Lonchura striata: one gene and its partner. The protein of the gene in region 1 binds, or shares a complex with, the protein of each later gene. Links are inferred from orthologs where the notes say so. Each region holds a gene or a part of one and is shown in the gene's direction. Other genes may lie near its edges.

Evidence for each region. Proteins that work in one complex are often made in the same cells at the same time.
Region 2: the proteins of GPSM2 (region 1) and NUMA1 are in contact, whole or in part, in a crystal structure (PDB 6HC2), measured with the Homo sapiens proteins. The link is inferred for Lonchura striata from reciprocal best matches to the Homo sapiens genes GPSM2 and NUMA1. Residues at the interface, in NP_001307967.1 of Homo sapiens: Ala28, Leu29, Glu32, Cys35, Lys36, Phe47, Lys59, Thr60, Ser62, Ala63, Ile64, Ser66, Gln67, Asn70, Ala71, Phe73, Asn110, Lys113, Tyr146, His153, Lys157, Pro164, Gln165, Arg203, Gly206, Asn207, Asn210, Tyr213, Leu214, Arg228; in NP_006176.2 of Homo sapiens: Ser1901, Phe1902, Tyr1903, Met1904, Gly1905, Thr1906, Cys1907, Gln1908, Asp1909, Glu1910, Pro1911, Glu1912, Leu1914, Asp1916, Trp1917, Asn1918, Arg1919, Ile1920, Ala1921, Leu1923.

What each region holds. Positions count from the first base shown.
Region 1 is NC_134611.1:25,004,549-25,012,162, forward strand, and holds the start of GPSM2 (G-protein-signaling modulator 2), read left to right. Parts: upstream 1-4,613; 5' UTR 4,614-6,405; coding exon 6,406-6,704; intron 6,705-7,614. UniProt on the Homo sapiens protein: Plays an important role in mitotic spindle pole organization via its interaction with NUMA1. Required for cortical dynein-dynactin complex recruitment during metaphase. Plays a role in metaphase spindle orientation.
Region 2 is NC_134604.1:4,288,752-4,295,770, reverse strand, and holds the start of NUMA1 (nuclear mitotic apparatus protein 1), read left to right. Parts: upstream 1-4,011; 5' UTR 4,012-4,204; intron 4,205-4,920; exon of another isoform or gene 4,921-5,092; intron 5,093-6,774; 5' UTR 6,775-6,805; coding exon 6,806-6,847; intron 6,848-7,019. Other genes in the region: ragulator complex protein LAMTOR1, read left to right, coding at 700-777, 1,234-1,360, 1,650-1,742. UniProt on the Homo sapiens protein: Microtubule (MT)-binding protein that plays a role in the formation and maintenance of the spindle poles and the alignement and the segregation of chromosomes during mitotic cell division.

The sequences.
Region 1 (7,614 bases):
AGCACTTCGTGATCTGTTCTGTATTATGCCTTTCATTCTGTAGTTTTCATCCTTTAAGTTTTTTCCTGGAACTTCATGAGGCCAGAAAATACTAACAAGGGTAAATTCTTCAGTCTCCAAGAGAAGAGAGTGTTGTTTTTTGTTAAATCCCTTTGGCTTTCTCACTTGCCTACAGGAATTGCCATGTCTGTGTAGAAGGCTTTGGCTCTGCCTTTAAGTTCTTGAATGACGTTTCCTGCTTCGTAGGAGCAGTGTTATGCTTTTACATCAGCTGCAAATGCTGATGAGTTATTAACCATGAGACTTCAAGCCAAGCATCTTGTGTTCCCTTTGCAGAACCGTGGCTGAATGGAGCTTAAAGGGCCACAGATGAAAGAAAGAACATGAACATTTCTGAAGGTGTGAGATGCCTGGCAGTGACCTCCTTACCTCAGTAATAAAGAAGAGTTTTTCTACAGGAGCTTAGGATATCTTTACTCCAGCTTCTTACTATACTAACTGGAATGGTGCTCTGACAACAATTGCCCATAATAAAGCACTTACCCTACTACAGAACAATATTTTTTTCTCTACTGATAATGTAACTCAATGGCGGAAAATAATGTTTTGATAAGCATGCCCGAAGATCGTTCCTTTCACGTGCGATACAGGTAAGACTGGTAATTTTGCTGTAAATGAGTAAGTGCTGTTAATAATAGAAAGCTAAACAAGTTGCAACAAATAGCTTGATATCTCTGCTAGTAGTGTTATTGAAATTTAAAATGAACTCCATTTTTTTCTTGATTTTTGAGTGATGAAAATTCACTTTTGCTATGTAGCAGATTATATTAGTATGATTAAATGATTGTATAGTACTGGAACTTGCATGGTAGCGGCATAGTACATTATTGCCTGTGTTTCTTTGTATTTGGGGTAAAATGATATGAAGTATGATGCCTGCAGGGTAATGGCTGCTCCCTCTTTTAGCTGTTGGACTGCCTATGCAAATTGCTGAGTTTTGTCTGCTGATGTTCTCTGTACTTGGCCCATTATTATTTTGGTGAATGACGAGGTATTTTCTGTGCTTAAAATAAAGAGGTTTGATTGATAGATGGAAACTGCCTTGGTGCCTTGCACTCAGAAGTACTGTTCTTGCAAGTGAAGAGGATATGGGATTTCCCTTCTGAGAGCTTTTTATAATTTTTCTTCTGAATCCCCTTTACAGACACGGGACGTGTTAGCATTTCAGACTCGCTCTAATGGAGCTGAACTACAGGAGCATTGTGTAGTGCATGGTGTTTGGAAGGGTAAATCGTGCAGTTCATTCAAGAGGAAGGGACACTGGAAGGCTGAAATGATTGTTTAAAAAGAAATAAAAAATGTGGTTCTTGTGTGCTCACCCCACCCCTACCCTGATCATCCTTTCTTTGGAGGCCTTTTCTTCACTAGCTAACAGCAATAAGGCTGTTAACCTGTATTTGTAAGACAGCACATGCTATGGCTTAAAATTAATCCTTTCAACCTTCTGACAGTGTTAGATTGTTGGAGTGGCCTTCTCTTCCATTTCATAGAAGAGAAATCTTTTATTTCATTTCATACAAGTCCAGTGTCCTGGGTGGCAGTGCAGCCAGCTGGAGAAGCTGTTTCATGGTCAGCAAAGAGAAAAATTAGCAAACAAGCTGTAATTTACTGTTTTCTCTCTTTATTTGGCTAAAATCTTTATCCTGTGGCATTGACCCTAAGTGTGATAACTCTGTGCTGCTTCCTGAAGGGACTCACTTCCCAGCATTCCTCTACCACATTTCCCCACACTGCTGCTGGTGCTCTCGGTCCTCCCCAGACAATTGCAGAACATCCTTGCTCACTCTTCAACAAAAGCTGGAGCTGTTCAGTGTGCTATTATAGAACTAAATGGATGAAAAATGTGTTATGGCCAATTGACTAGTTTAAACTGACAGGCTAAAAAAAACTTGGCAAGTGCAGTCAGGGCACAATGTCTTCCTGCTTTATGCTGTATTTCAGTACAGGTCTGAATGAGACCAATTAAAAATATCAACAATAACAATATTCATGACCTTCTTAAATTTTTCTGCAATAACTATAACCTGATTCACATTTAAAAAACATGATGGCAAAATTATTTTAATTTAAAAACATATTAAACTTGAGTTTTGAGAAACTGAAGATTAATTCAGTATATGACCTGGAATTTTATTATGATATTGATAGCTATAATTTGGAAATATTTTATTTTGTTGGAGTTTAAAATTTAGTGGAGGAAATAAAAAGTCATAAATTACTGGAGAGGGAGTTACCAGTTTTTAAAAAAAATTACTTGCAGGTATTATCCCGGGCTTGTTTGGCTGTGACTGCTCTTTCCTTCCTTCTGGCGTTCCATTAGAACTGATTTTAATGAAGTTGGAGCCCACTCCTAAGCAAAGGCTTTACTGTGGGTTTCTGACTGTGCAAGTGTTTCTTTCTCCCCACAGTAGTTCATCAGTATCACTTTTGCAGTTATAAAAATTCTTATGCTGGTAGAAGGAGATTTTTTTGTTGTTGTTGTTTAGTGACTGAAAATAAAATGCTAATGTTACTTGATTTGTATGAATAAATGATCTGTAGGGTTAATATTTGTATAACTTGCTTCTTTCAGCCTGCTAAATTCATACACCAAAAACTTGTAACTGCTTTTATCTTGACTGGAGCAAAAGAAGACAGAATGTGGTTTCTTTGTGTGTGAGTTGTTTGTTTCTAACCTCACCATCAGGTGTAGTTTGACAGAAGCAGTGCTGCAGTGGAGCTGCAGTGGAGCTGCAGTGGAGCTCTGTGCACTGGTTGCTTTGGAGGCTTCTGCTCACAGGGAGAAGCCAAGAGTAAGGGCAGGAGTCAGGAATGGTGTGTCAGCTTTGTTACAGGATGCTGTGGCATTAGTGATGCTGTGCATCTGAACTAGGGAGATGTCATGAGGGTTGTTTTGTCTCTAGGTGTGTTATTTGTACCAACGTGTTTCATGGGAAATTGTTGACAGCTGTGTTCCCCCTCCAAAGCTAAAAGCCCTCTTAGTGGGAATTGAACTGAGTAAAACTCTAAATTGTGCTTAGAGATTGCAGTAATCAGTGAGTGTTACTACCTTCTTCCACTGACTTAATTCTTACCTCTTTTCTTGTCCTTATTGTGAGATGAGAACAGCTGAAGGGAGGGAGACAAAAACAATGAGGCAATATGCTTAGGGTTTATATTAATAGAAATAATAAAGGTTTAAAATAGAATATGAAAAAGGTCAGAGAAGAAGAGGGGGGAGGGGGAAGAAGGGGAGCCAGGCAGGAGGAAAAGCTTTGAGGGCCAGATAAGGATGAGGCAGTTTTACAAACGAGAAATTATTCAGAAGATGCCAGGCAGCTATGGACAGCATAACAAAATGAAGCCCTGTGTGAGCATTTCAAGCAGTATCTGAAAGAATGCTATCCTGTTCAGCAGGAACAGAATTGCCTTAGAAGTGCACAAATGAATGAGGCTTGTTCTCGTCTCCTCTCTCCAGATACATTGAATCTCTTGTTTGGCCACTGGGTGTTGAGTAAATAATTCAATTCAGCCCAGGGAACAGAGAATGTAATGTCATATTCTGCTTGTAACTATTTAATGACTTCCTAAAACATTGATAATCTGGCCCTGTCTAGTCTGCCAAAGTGCTGTTTAACCATTAGTAGTGACAGGTGGAGAACACCTACGTAAATCCTAAAAAAACCACCAAAACAAACAAAAAAAAAAGTGTTAATTTGCATAAGAGTCCTTTAAGTAGCAGAGGGGAGAAAAAAACAAATACAAACCAAAACCAAACCTCTTCTGAATCCAGTTTTGGTACTCAATGGAAAAGCCTTGGAAACTTTTAAAATAACTGAGTGATTTAATAACTCTTATATAACCTGAATAAAATATTGAGTGCGGAGAACTGTGGGAATAAATATTTAATTTTCTCTGTTCTATTTTAGTATAGCTTATTTAGATTTTGAAATGGTAGGTCAGAAGGAATGGATCCAGATGGAATTAAAGTTTTAATTTGCTCTACGGATTCTAGCAACCTGTTAGTACAACCTCTCAAGAGTTGTGTAATTTTTGCATTCTTTTTTTACTCAAGCAATTATTAATTCCTATTTTCATTTACTTCCTGTAATTCTGGTTGAATTTAAAGACTCTGTAATAACTCCTGATTTTCATCAGTCTAAGCCATTTGCTTCTTAGTTGTGTTCTGTATGAAAGATCCCATATCTTTCATTTTTATAGGTTATACTAAATCTAGTGTTGCAAAGTCAAATGATTGTATTTCAAATTCCCTGATGAAATGGTAATGCTGCCTTGTCCTTTGGCAGTTTTGGTGTAGTGTGAAATTAGATGAATGAAGTTTCTCAGGGGGGCTACCATACTGCAGCACTCTCTGATATTGCCCTTGTACATTCTTTAATTGCCTTTTTTTAACTGATTATGTGGCTGATTCATCACAGTTAAAAATATTTTTTTTTAAATGGAACTAATTCACTAAGGGAAGCAGAGCCCAGTGCAGCATTTTCATTGTTATGTCACACACACGTTTTGCTGGAAGTTCTGCCCTTTTTAGCCATTCAAGCAAGAATCCAAGAGTGTGGCTGTGTAAATGGTCCAAATCTCTGCACTGAGAAGCACCATATTTTCTAGCTGTCACTCTAATTGGACGTGTCAGTTAACATGAGGTGCCCGGAGAGAACCTCTTTGGATAGGATTAAGATTACCCAATGAAGTGTTTTAAGTCCTAAACCTTCAGTTGCTGATGGTGTAATCATTTCTGCCTTGTACTTAATTGTACTTAATCATTTCTGCCTTCTTCTTTCTTACATTCGACACATGCACAATGTCATGAGAGCCAGGTGGTGTGTTGTAGCTAATAGGAATGCTCTAACTTCTCTGAGAAGGGTTTGCAAACCTAAAAATACTGCATGTGTTATGGATATCCAGCCTGGAAAGTTGGGCTTGGCAAGAACTTCATGCTGGAGTTACCTTTTGCTGTCAGCATCTTTAGCAGCTACCAAACAGGCAGTGCATTTGGTTGCAAAAGGTAAACATGTCGGTCATCACGCTGTGCTTAAGTTGTGGCACGTCGAAGACCAGCAGGTATGGCAGAATTTTGTGTTGTACTTGTGATACCAGTTCTTCTAAATCTTTTGGAAGTCATTAGAGTTTTCAAAAATATTTCCTTCCTGTTCAGGTGTGAGTAGATGTTTGTATAATAATTTTTTTCCTATTTTAAGGAAATAAAAAAATGTATTGCACGTATGTTAAAAACTTCATCACTATGTCAGGTCAAAACAGGTGACATGTGGTATTTCCACTAAAATAACTTCTGCAAAAGCCAGCATTTGATTGTCCACTCTTTGGCAATATTAGCTTATACTTTTTCAACAATTACAGAATGTCTCTTACTGTTTTGTTTTTTTTTAAATCTTAAAAAAAAAAAAGCTGATATTTTTGCAAGCTTTTTAAAATGCATGTATCCTGAAAAAGCTGGAGAACCATACTGCTTCAAGATTGAGACCTGGAGCTGTTGGCTTTCTCATCTTCTTCTCCCCTGCCTCCCTTGCATCTCAGAACCAGAAAGTAGGAAACATTTGGATAAAAAATATTATGTTTTGTACTCCTGAGCTTACAGAGGCAAAAATGCACATGAATGCTATTGTAGTTTTCTATCAGCTTCTTTGTTCATGTTCAAAATGTAATATTCTACAAATTCATTAATGACTGCTGTATTTTGTACCTGTATAATTGCACAATTAGTTGTTCATAATAATAAAAAATGTTCCAGTGTATTCCAGTGTTCTGGAATAATGGTGTATCAGTGAAGCAACTTGAATTGACATACATTTTGTCATTAATTGAATCTAGATATTTTTTCTTACAGCGAGAATTTTCATAGCAGTCCATAGCAGTTTTCATAGTGCCTAGTATAAGAAATTAAGTGCCAAGGAGTACTGAATTACAGAGGAAGCAACTTGGGGAAAACTAGTCAGTCTTTGATACATAGAATATTCTAATTTAATTTTTTTCCTGTGAATAATTTTGCAGATTACTATGGCATCACCCTAAAAATCTGAAGTGCTTCCATTTGTCAGAATCAGTATTTGTCAGTAATAGTTTGATTTCTAGGTAACTTTTCTGAAATTATCTAGATGGTGAAAACTGTTTTTGAACCCTTCGTGTGCTCCCTGTAGACAAAGCAGTGTTTGGTTTCCTCTCTGAGACCGGAAAAAAAAAAAAAGAAATTCCAGTTGTTTGTTCAAATGTTATTTTGCTCCTCACCACTGAAGTTGTAATTTCCATTTCAGCCTTAGCAAAGCTCACTGGTTGTAGTGTGGTGCTGATTCCCTCTCCTAAACAAATAGAGGCCCTCTGAGTAAAGCAATGCCCTGTTCGGAGCTCAGGTGCTGGACAGAGTGTGGCACTTGGAGTGACTGTTGGCCTTTTTTGTCACGGTGCAGGATGGAGGCTTCCTGCCTGGAGCTGGCTCTGGAAGGCGAGCGCCTGTGCAAGGCAGGAGATTGCCGGGCTGGAGTGTCTTTCTTTGAAGCAGCTGTGCAGGTTGGAACTGAAGATTTACGAACCCTGAGCGCTATTTACAGCCAGCTGGGCAATGCCTATTTCTACCTGCAGGAATACGCAAAGGCCTTGGAATACCATCACCACGATTTAACTCTTGCAAGGTAATTGTTCTCCAGGTCATCCCATTCTGGGAGACACAAGCAGCTGTTCATTGTCCTGCCAAACCCTGCTATTAATACTGGCTAATGAGTGAACGTGGTGGTGGCACAGGGCTGGGGGGCCTGGCAGGTCACTTGGGTGCCCTCTAACCTGGCAGCTAATACTTGGTCTAGCAGCATAATCCTAGAACTGACTGAGGCCTCACCAGGTTTCTGGATAATTAAATGGCTGCTTTAAGTCCATCCTTTATCCTTTCGTGTTTCTAAAACTCAGTGTTTCTAGTTCTCCGTATTGTTAAGCTGCTCTCGTTTACTAGACAGAACTCCTTAATGTTTATCTGTGTAAAACTCATAATGTAATACTGTGAAATCCTAAAACCCTATCCCTTTCATATGCTATTGATGTGTCTGACTTTTACTGATTTGTATAGATCCAATAAAAGACATAGGCATATAATATACTTAACCTCAATTTAGGCATAAATCTATTCTTCCCCCTGCCTTACTCTGCTCCTGTGCAGTGACCTTGGGGCATTTGTTTTGTTGTGTTGTCCCCCAGGTATGACAGTTTGAGTGGTTCAGTGGCAGTCTCTTGCCTTAGTCTCATTTAAAATCTAGAAATGAAGTAGTGCCTCAAGCTACAGAGGAGACTGTAAATCTTAAACCTTACAGTTAAGTGTCTTGTTAAATTAAAGGAGGCTTTTACTTAAAAGGAGATGGTCAAGTAAAACACAAATGCAGTTAAAGCTCTCTTTCTAATGCTGGGACTGGCTTTCTAAATCATCTTTAAGAATTTTCTCTCTATTCTCTTCTTAAATATGTGAATTTAAGAAGTAAATGTTAAGCAGATGATCAATACCATGAATACCAGCAGCTGGCCAAACAGCACTGACAGAACAAGATGTCTGTAATC
Region 2 (7,019 bases), on another chromosome or scaffold:
CTGGCAATAGGGGCAGGGTTTGGATATAAGAGACAGCCCATGGGGATGCGGAGAGGGTGGCTGGAGGGGCAGCAGCATTGTATCCCCTTCTGAGGAGGCTTTTCCTCAAATGCACCAGGGCAATGTGGGGAGAGGGCTGTGTCCAACCTGGCTGGGAGGGCTTTGGGAGGCTCTTAGGCCCTCTGCCTGACATTGGAGAGCTAGTGGCCACTGGTGTGTGTCAGCATGCAGGGCCACAGCAGCTCTGAGTACTGCTCTGCTGTGGGGTGCACACAATGGGGCTGTGGCAGGGCCCTGGGCAGTAGCCCAGGTCCTCTGTGAGCCTAGGGCTCAGTACCAGGGCTATCAGGACATCTGCAAAGGACACTGTCCTCCCAGTGGTTCCTTTTTCCTCCAGGTGGCTGCATGCCAAGCTCCCCAGAGCCCAGACCAGCCCCCAGCTTCCTGCAGCATCTGCTTGCCTCCCTCTGCCCCAGGGCAGCTGTGGGCAGTCCCTGGCATTCCTTCCTGGTGAACAGCCACTCCAGCCTGGCACACTTGTAGCCAGCTGGCAGCATTAATTGGGCGAGTTTGGCCTTGAGATGTTTGTTTTGGGGTGCTGTCGGGTGCTGGACTTTGTCTGCCCTGGTCAGAGGATGCTCTGAGATGGGGAGGGAACTCAGGGAGAGCAATGGGAGCCACTGTCTCGTGTCTCTGCAGCAACATCATCGATGTGTCGGCAGCGGATTCCCAGGGCATGGAGCAGCACGAGTACATGGACAGAGCCAGGCAGTACAGGTGGGACCTGCACTTCTCCGCTGGGGTGCCTGCAGTCCTTCACAGCTGTGCGTGTCCCTGGGCAGGTCCCAGGGGTTTTGGCCTGGGGGAGTGAACTCAGCGTGTAGAAAGTCTGCCTCATCTCCGAGAGCAGGGTGCAGCCTGCTCAGGGAAGGCTGATGGCAGTGCAGGCAGCAGAGCCCAGGACAAAGGGCTCCTGTGTTCACCCAGCCCTTGGGGCAGATTTTTGGGGGCTGGATGTGATGGCTTCTGCTTGAAAGGTGCCTGTGTAGGAGAGCTGGAATCTCGCTCATCCTCCTGCTGCGGGGAGTGCAGAGGGCTGGATGCTGGGAGTGCAGCTCTGCTGCTCTCCCTCTCTCCCCCTGGGGGTTCCAGGTGCTTGGGGGTGCAGCACCCATCTTCTGGATGTCCCCACGTCTCGGCAGGTCACTGATGTTCACTGCTCTCCCCTCACAGCACACGCCTGGCCATGCTCAGCAACAACCTGACGCACTGGAAGAAGCTGCCCCTGCTGCCATCTCTGACCAACCAACCACACCAAGTGCTCGCCAGCGACCCTGTCCCCTTCGCAGACCTGCAGCAGGTGAGCCGGGCTGGGGTGAGCCCCGAGCCCCTGCGGTGCTCCCCAGAGACACATCCTCGTCCTGGAGGAGCAGTGATGCCCTCCTGCTTGCCCAGAGCTCTGACACAACTTGTTACAGCTGAAGGCAAAGCCTAGGTCAGGTTTAAAGCCTTGTTAGAGGTGGAGGCAAAGCCCAGGACAGGCTTAGGGACTCTTTTGGGCTGGAGGTTAACCTCCTGCAGCAGTTTCTTTGGGATAACGGGGAGTTTCAGCAGCCACCAGTGACACAGCCATGTCTTCGTGCCTGCAGGTGTCCCGGATAGCCGCCTATGCCTTCAGTGCGCTCTCACAGATCCGTGTCGACGCCAAAGAAGAACTGGTTGTACAGTTTGGCATCCCCTGAACCTGCCCCCACCACTGCTGCTTCAGCGCTTTGGGTTGTTTTTGGTTTATTTCCTGATTGTTTTTTTTCCTCTTTATATCCCTTCCCTCCCCATGCTGCTGCCACAGAACTTGGACAGATATCCTGTTTCCTACTAAATGCCAAGGCGCACATCATTGGCACATTGAGCCCACCTACATTGCTTGAGGCTTTCTCCTCCTCGTGGGTGGGTAGGTGGGTGTGCGTGGGGAGCAGGCTGTGTCAGCTGGACGCTGCCTTGCACAGGGACAAGCACAAAGGGAACAGCTGCTGCAAGGAGGCCCTGGTGTGGGTCAGCACCACGTGCCAGGTTACCAGGACGGGTGGGCTGGAGCCAGGCAGATGTGATGCTCTGCATGGGGCCTGGTGGCTCCAACACCATCCCTTCTCCTTTCTACATGTTTAGACCTTTGTTTTGGCTGTTTGGTTTTTGGTTTTGTTGGGTTTTTTTAATTATTATTTTTTGCCACAGTCAATAAAGCCACGTTCATCCAGTGCCTGTCTCCACTATTCTCTGCTGGACACAGAATGGACATGGTGGGGGAGCCATACCCTGGTGTATGGTGCACATCTGTCTGACCCCTGTCCATCATGTGCCACAGGGCCAAGAGGACGAGGGGACAGGGAATGTATGATGACCCACCTTTAAGGGGAAGGAGGCACCTGAGATTCCTAAATGCTCGTGGTCCAAAGGAATGTCAAAAGTCAGGGCTGGCAAATAATCAGAAAGTTTTATTAGTAAATTACACACTTGGCATGGAAATTGCAGGGTACCTTTTTTTATGGGTAGGTTTCCCCAGCCTGAAGACGGAGTTCTCATTTTCTATGCAAATTAGTTATCATGCACAGTCTGTTCTTTCAGGTCTTCCTGGAAATGGGTCAGAGGGGTTTAGGGGTCTTTGGTCACCTTAATCCTACCCGTAGTCCGTGCCCACTTCCTGCCACTCATTCCTATGCTGTACTGTCTTGTGCTTATCAGCAGGAACTAGAACAAGGATGTTTTTCCTACAACAAGGATGTTTTTCCAGTGCTGCTCTATCTCACCTTGCCTCTCTTCTTTAGCCATACCTTGTTATGGCGTGTTAAGGTCAGCAGGCCTTGTTTATTACCAACAGTCCTTGCTAGACGCCACAACCATCCAGTTATCTATGTTTGAGACATACACATTAGCTCTCCTATGTTCTGGGAATAGAATTTTCAGTGAGATTTATTTTGGACTGTGGTTTATGGGGTCATTAGAGAGTGGGCTTCAGTATGCATTATTAGCCCTTTATAATTGAGAACTCAAAGGGTCTCACTTTGGATTGCTGTCTAGAAGGTTGCAAGAAAGTGGGCTTTAGTCATAGTAGTTTTCCATCTTGGCCACAATTTAATTTGGTTGAAGGTTCAACAACAAAAATACTGTTCCACATTGGTTGTTACTCAGGCAAGAAAAATAAGTTTCCAAGTCTGTTCATTAAAAACCAGATGCTCGATAAACATCTGTTACTTCCTTGGAACAGATTATATCCAATAAGCTCAAGAGGGGCTTAGTCTGGGTGCTCTTTGTGAAGGCCAAAGCCTAACAAGCATTTCTCAGGTCTTGGTGGGGCCTGAGCAGTGGTGGGGACATTCGCCACCACAATCCAGTTCGTGACTGAACCTCTGTGGGCCTCTACAGGGTGAAATAGGGCTGTGGCCACGGGGACAAGCACAGGACCCCCCAAGTGAGACGAGGCCCCGGTAGCAGGTCAGGACAGGTTTGGGGGCTGATGAGGACCCCTGCCTAGCTGGCACTGCAGGGCAGAGTGGGGTGTCTGTGTGTGACACACCGCCAGAGTCCCCCCACGTGTCCCCTGACACACTGTGGCCTTCCAGTACTCCGTGTGGCCCCGCACAACCCCCTCTACGTGTCACACAACCTCCCCTCATGTGTCCTCACCTCTCACTGCGGGCTTCAGACCCACATCCCCCACACCCCCGTGGTCCCACCTGTCTTACTGTTACCTTCACGAGTGTCCCCAAGCAGCCCTGTAACCCACTCCCGACACCAGGGCTTCCGTCGCTTGGACTGTTGCATGTTGCATGTGTCCCCCAAGTAGCCCGCGAGGGTCCCGGTGGCCGGCAGAGCGCTGTCCCCCGCAGCCCAGCGCGAGTGCGGGACCCCGCGGTCCGCCCGCCGTGTGCCGCCCCCCGCCCGCCGGTGCCCAATGGGCAGCAGCGGGGGCGGGCGCTGCCGTTCGAATAAGAGCGGCCGCGGCACGGGCCCCGGCAGCTTCCAGAGCACCGCCAATATTGCTGGAGCCCCCAGGGCATCGTCAGTACTGCTGGAGCCCCCAGGGCATCGTCAGTACTGCTGGAGCCTCCAGGGCATCGTCAGTACTGCTGGAGCCTCCAGAGCATCGTCCGTACTGCTGGAGCCCCGGCGACGCCGGAGACGGACCAAATTCGCAGCCACGGTCACGGTACGGGGAAAGCTGAGGTCAATCGCCGGGCGGGCCCCGGTGGTTGCTCGGCGGGGGTGAATTCAGGGCCGCAGAGCGAGGCTGTGCCAGAGGCGGGCAAAGCGCGGAACCCTCGGGCGAGCGGGGCACGTCTGTGGCACAGCCTCCGTCTCGGGCCAAGCTCGGCGGCGTCCCCGTCCCTAAAGGCATTCGGCGACCGCGTTCCTCGCAAGTTCCTCTGCTGCCCCCAGCGCCGGTTCCAAAGAGCCTTCTCCTTGTGCCCTTCCTGGGCCGTGCTCGGGGCAGCCCCATCCCGCGGCCCTGAGCCTCCGCAGGCAGCCCAGGCACTGCGGCGATGACTTCCGAGAGTCTCCGGAACAGCAGCGTCCCTTCCTCGCCCGACTCCTCCCTCGTCTAGCTGGTGGCCCGTGGGGTCCGGTTCCCGTCGAATCCGCGCCCGCGGGGGTGTGTGCGTGTCGGGGGGAGTTTTCCAGGGGTCAGCTGGGATGTGAGTCCGGCCAGGTTAGAGGGAGACGCAGCATCGGGGGCTATTCTCTTTCCCGAGCCGCGCTGGGGCCGGGAGCGGGTCAGAGCCGGCCGCAGCGGCACAGCTCTCCGCCGCTGGCCGGGGCAGGGTGGCGGCAGCGAGCGCGGCCGGGGTCGGGCGCTCCCCCTCCGCACGGCGCGGCGCCGGAGGTTTCGGTGCCGTGCGCCTTTAACGAGCGCGGCCCGGCGCGGTGACGTGGGGTGGCGCAGGGCCAGGAAGGGGAACCGCCGCCTGCCAGCCCCGCCGAGAGAAGCTCAACAACTTTTCTTTTGTGCGTGGCCGCTGGCTCCCCGGCCCTTCCTGGCCTGCCAGCGCTCATGGCGGATTAACCCCAGCGCGCCGACGACGGCCGCGCGGCCCCGGTAAGGCCCCAACAAAGACTTTCTGCCTCTTCCTCGTTTTGTTTTCCACGGGGCTGGGGGGGAGCGGGGCGGGGGCGGCGAAGCTCAGCTCGCCCAGCTCCGCCGCCTCGCCGCAGCGTGCGGCTCCCGGCCCGGCGCCTCGGAGCCCCGAGGTGCGGGTCCGGGGCCGGGTCGGGCTCGCCAACATCCGGGCGCTCGGGTCGGCGGCTGCTCTGCCCCGCCGCCCCGCGCCGGCTGCGGGCCCGTCCGTGCCGGGGGCTGCCGTGGGTCGCTCACTCTGCCCGGGTGCTCCCCGCAGCCGGACCCCCGGCCTGGGACGGCCCTCGGGCGCGTCCCCCGGCGCGCTGGCACGTCGGGAGCTCCGGAGCGCGGGCTTGCGTAACGCCGTGTTGTGACCGGAGCGGCGCGGGGGAAGGGGGGAAGGACAATGCCGCCGCCGCCGCCGCCGCCTCCGGGGCTCGTTCCCCGGTCCCCGCCGCCCCCCTGCAGCTGCTCTCCTCGGGGATGCGGCTGGGAGGCGCTCACGGCCGCTGGCGGGCTCCCCGACCGCTTCCCGCCTGCCATCGCCAATGGCGCGTCCTCACCGAGGGTCATGGCGTTGTCTCAGATGCTCAGGGTGGCCAGTGTCACCAGGGACAAGCCAGGCTGTGACCGCGGCAGGAGCGGGTAGCCCTGCCCGCTGTGCAGATCTCACACCAGGAACCAGTGTGTTTGCAGGCTGGTTCTGGTAAAACCCAGCTCGACGCTGGTGGGACACAGTTTTTTCCGAGGGTCTGCATCCAGTGCTGCTCGAGTGCTGTGCCCTGTGCCTTTGGGTAGATTTTTAGGGAGAAGTTTTGTCTGTGCCACCGAGGGGAGGGACAGTAGTTGTTGAGTGACCCAGCCATGACACAGGGAGCTGGATTTTAGCCAGATTGGAGGGAGGACCTGTCCTGCTGAGGATCCCATGCTTCCCAGCTGGACCGACAGCAGTGGGAGCTCTGTACTCCCTAAAGCCACCGTGGCTGGTTGGCTGTGCTGTGCTGAGCAGCTGCAGATCCCGAGCAGTGTTCAGGTGCAATACCGGGTGAGGAGCTCCCTCCTCATCTAGGCGACTTTTTGGCTCCCAGCAGTTCCCTCCCCTGGAAGACTACCAGGGTGGCACTGGGGGCAGCCAGCGTGGAGGCAAAGGTCGCTGTGAAGGGGACCTGGCAGTGATCCCAGATCCTGTCAGGGCAGCTCATCCCTGCTCCCACCCAATGCAGTGATGCCCAGAGAGCTCCCTGTACCTCAGCAGGTGGTTTTTTCCAGTAGTAGCTGTGGGAAGGGGAGCTGGCAGCGCTTCAATGGCTCAGCCACTGCCTTGCTGGGCAAGAAATGTTAGTGACACTTGGAGGTGAGAGGGAGGGAAGAAGGCACAGCAGGAGAATGAGGAGCCCGAGCAGCAGTTTTCCACTGACCCCATGTCAGGATCCTAATCTGTGGGAGTAGACCTGGCTGCTGCTCAGCATTGCTTCCCACTCTGTGCCTGTGGGGAAGCAGGAGGATGCTGGCTGCTCCTGCACAGCTGGGATGTCCCAGATGCAGGGACACATCCTCCCTTGGTGGGTACAAATGCCTGATGCTGTCTGAAAGTAATTTAGTAACATAATTACTCTACCTTTTTTATTCCCCTCCCCCCACCCCTCTGTTGGTGTTTTTAGGTCTGGACAGGGACCTGATAGGCTGGCCACAATGTCTCTTCACGGTGCAAGAGTTGCTGCTCTCCTTGCTTGGGTAAGTCCCCCCTCCCCTGCATGCTGCTGCCAGCCCTGGCAGCTTTGAGGCTCGATGCTGAGGCTTGTCACAGGAGGGATTGTGGCTGGGGCAGGTCCTAGGGTAGTCCAGTTCCTGCCATTCCTGGGCAGGTGGGTGTTTGCAGGAGAAGCCTTGCTCACCCTTCCTGTTG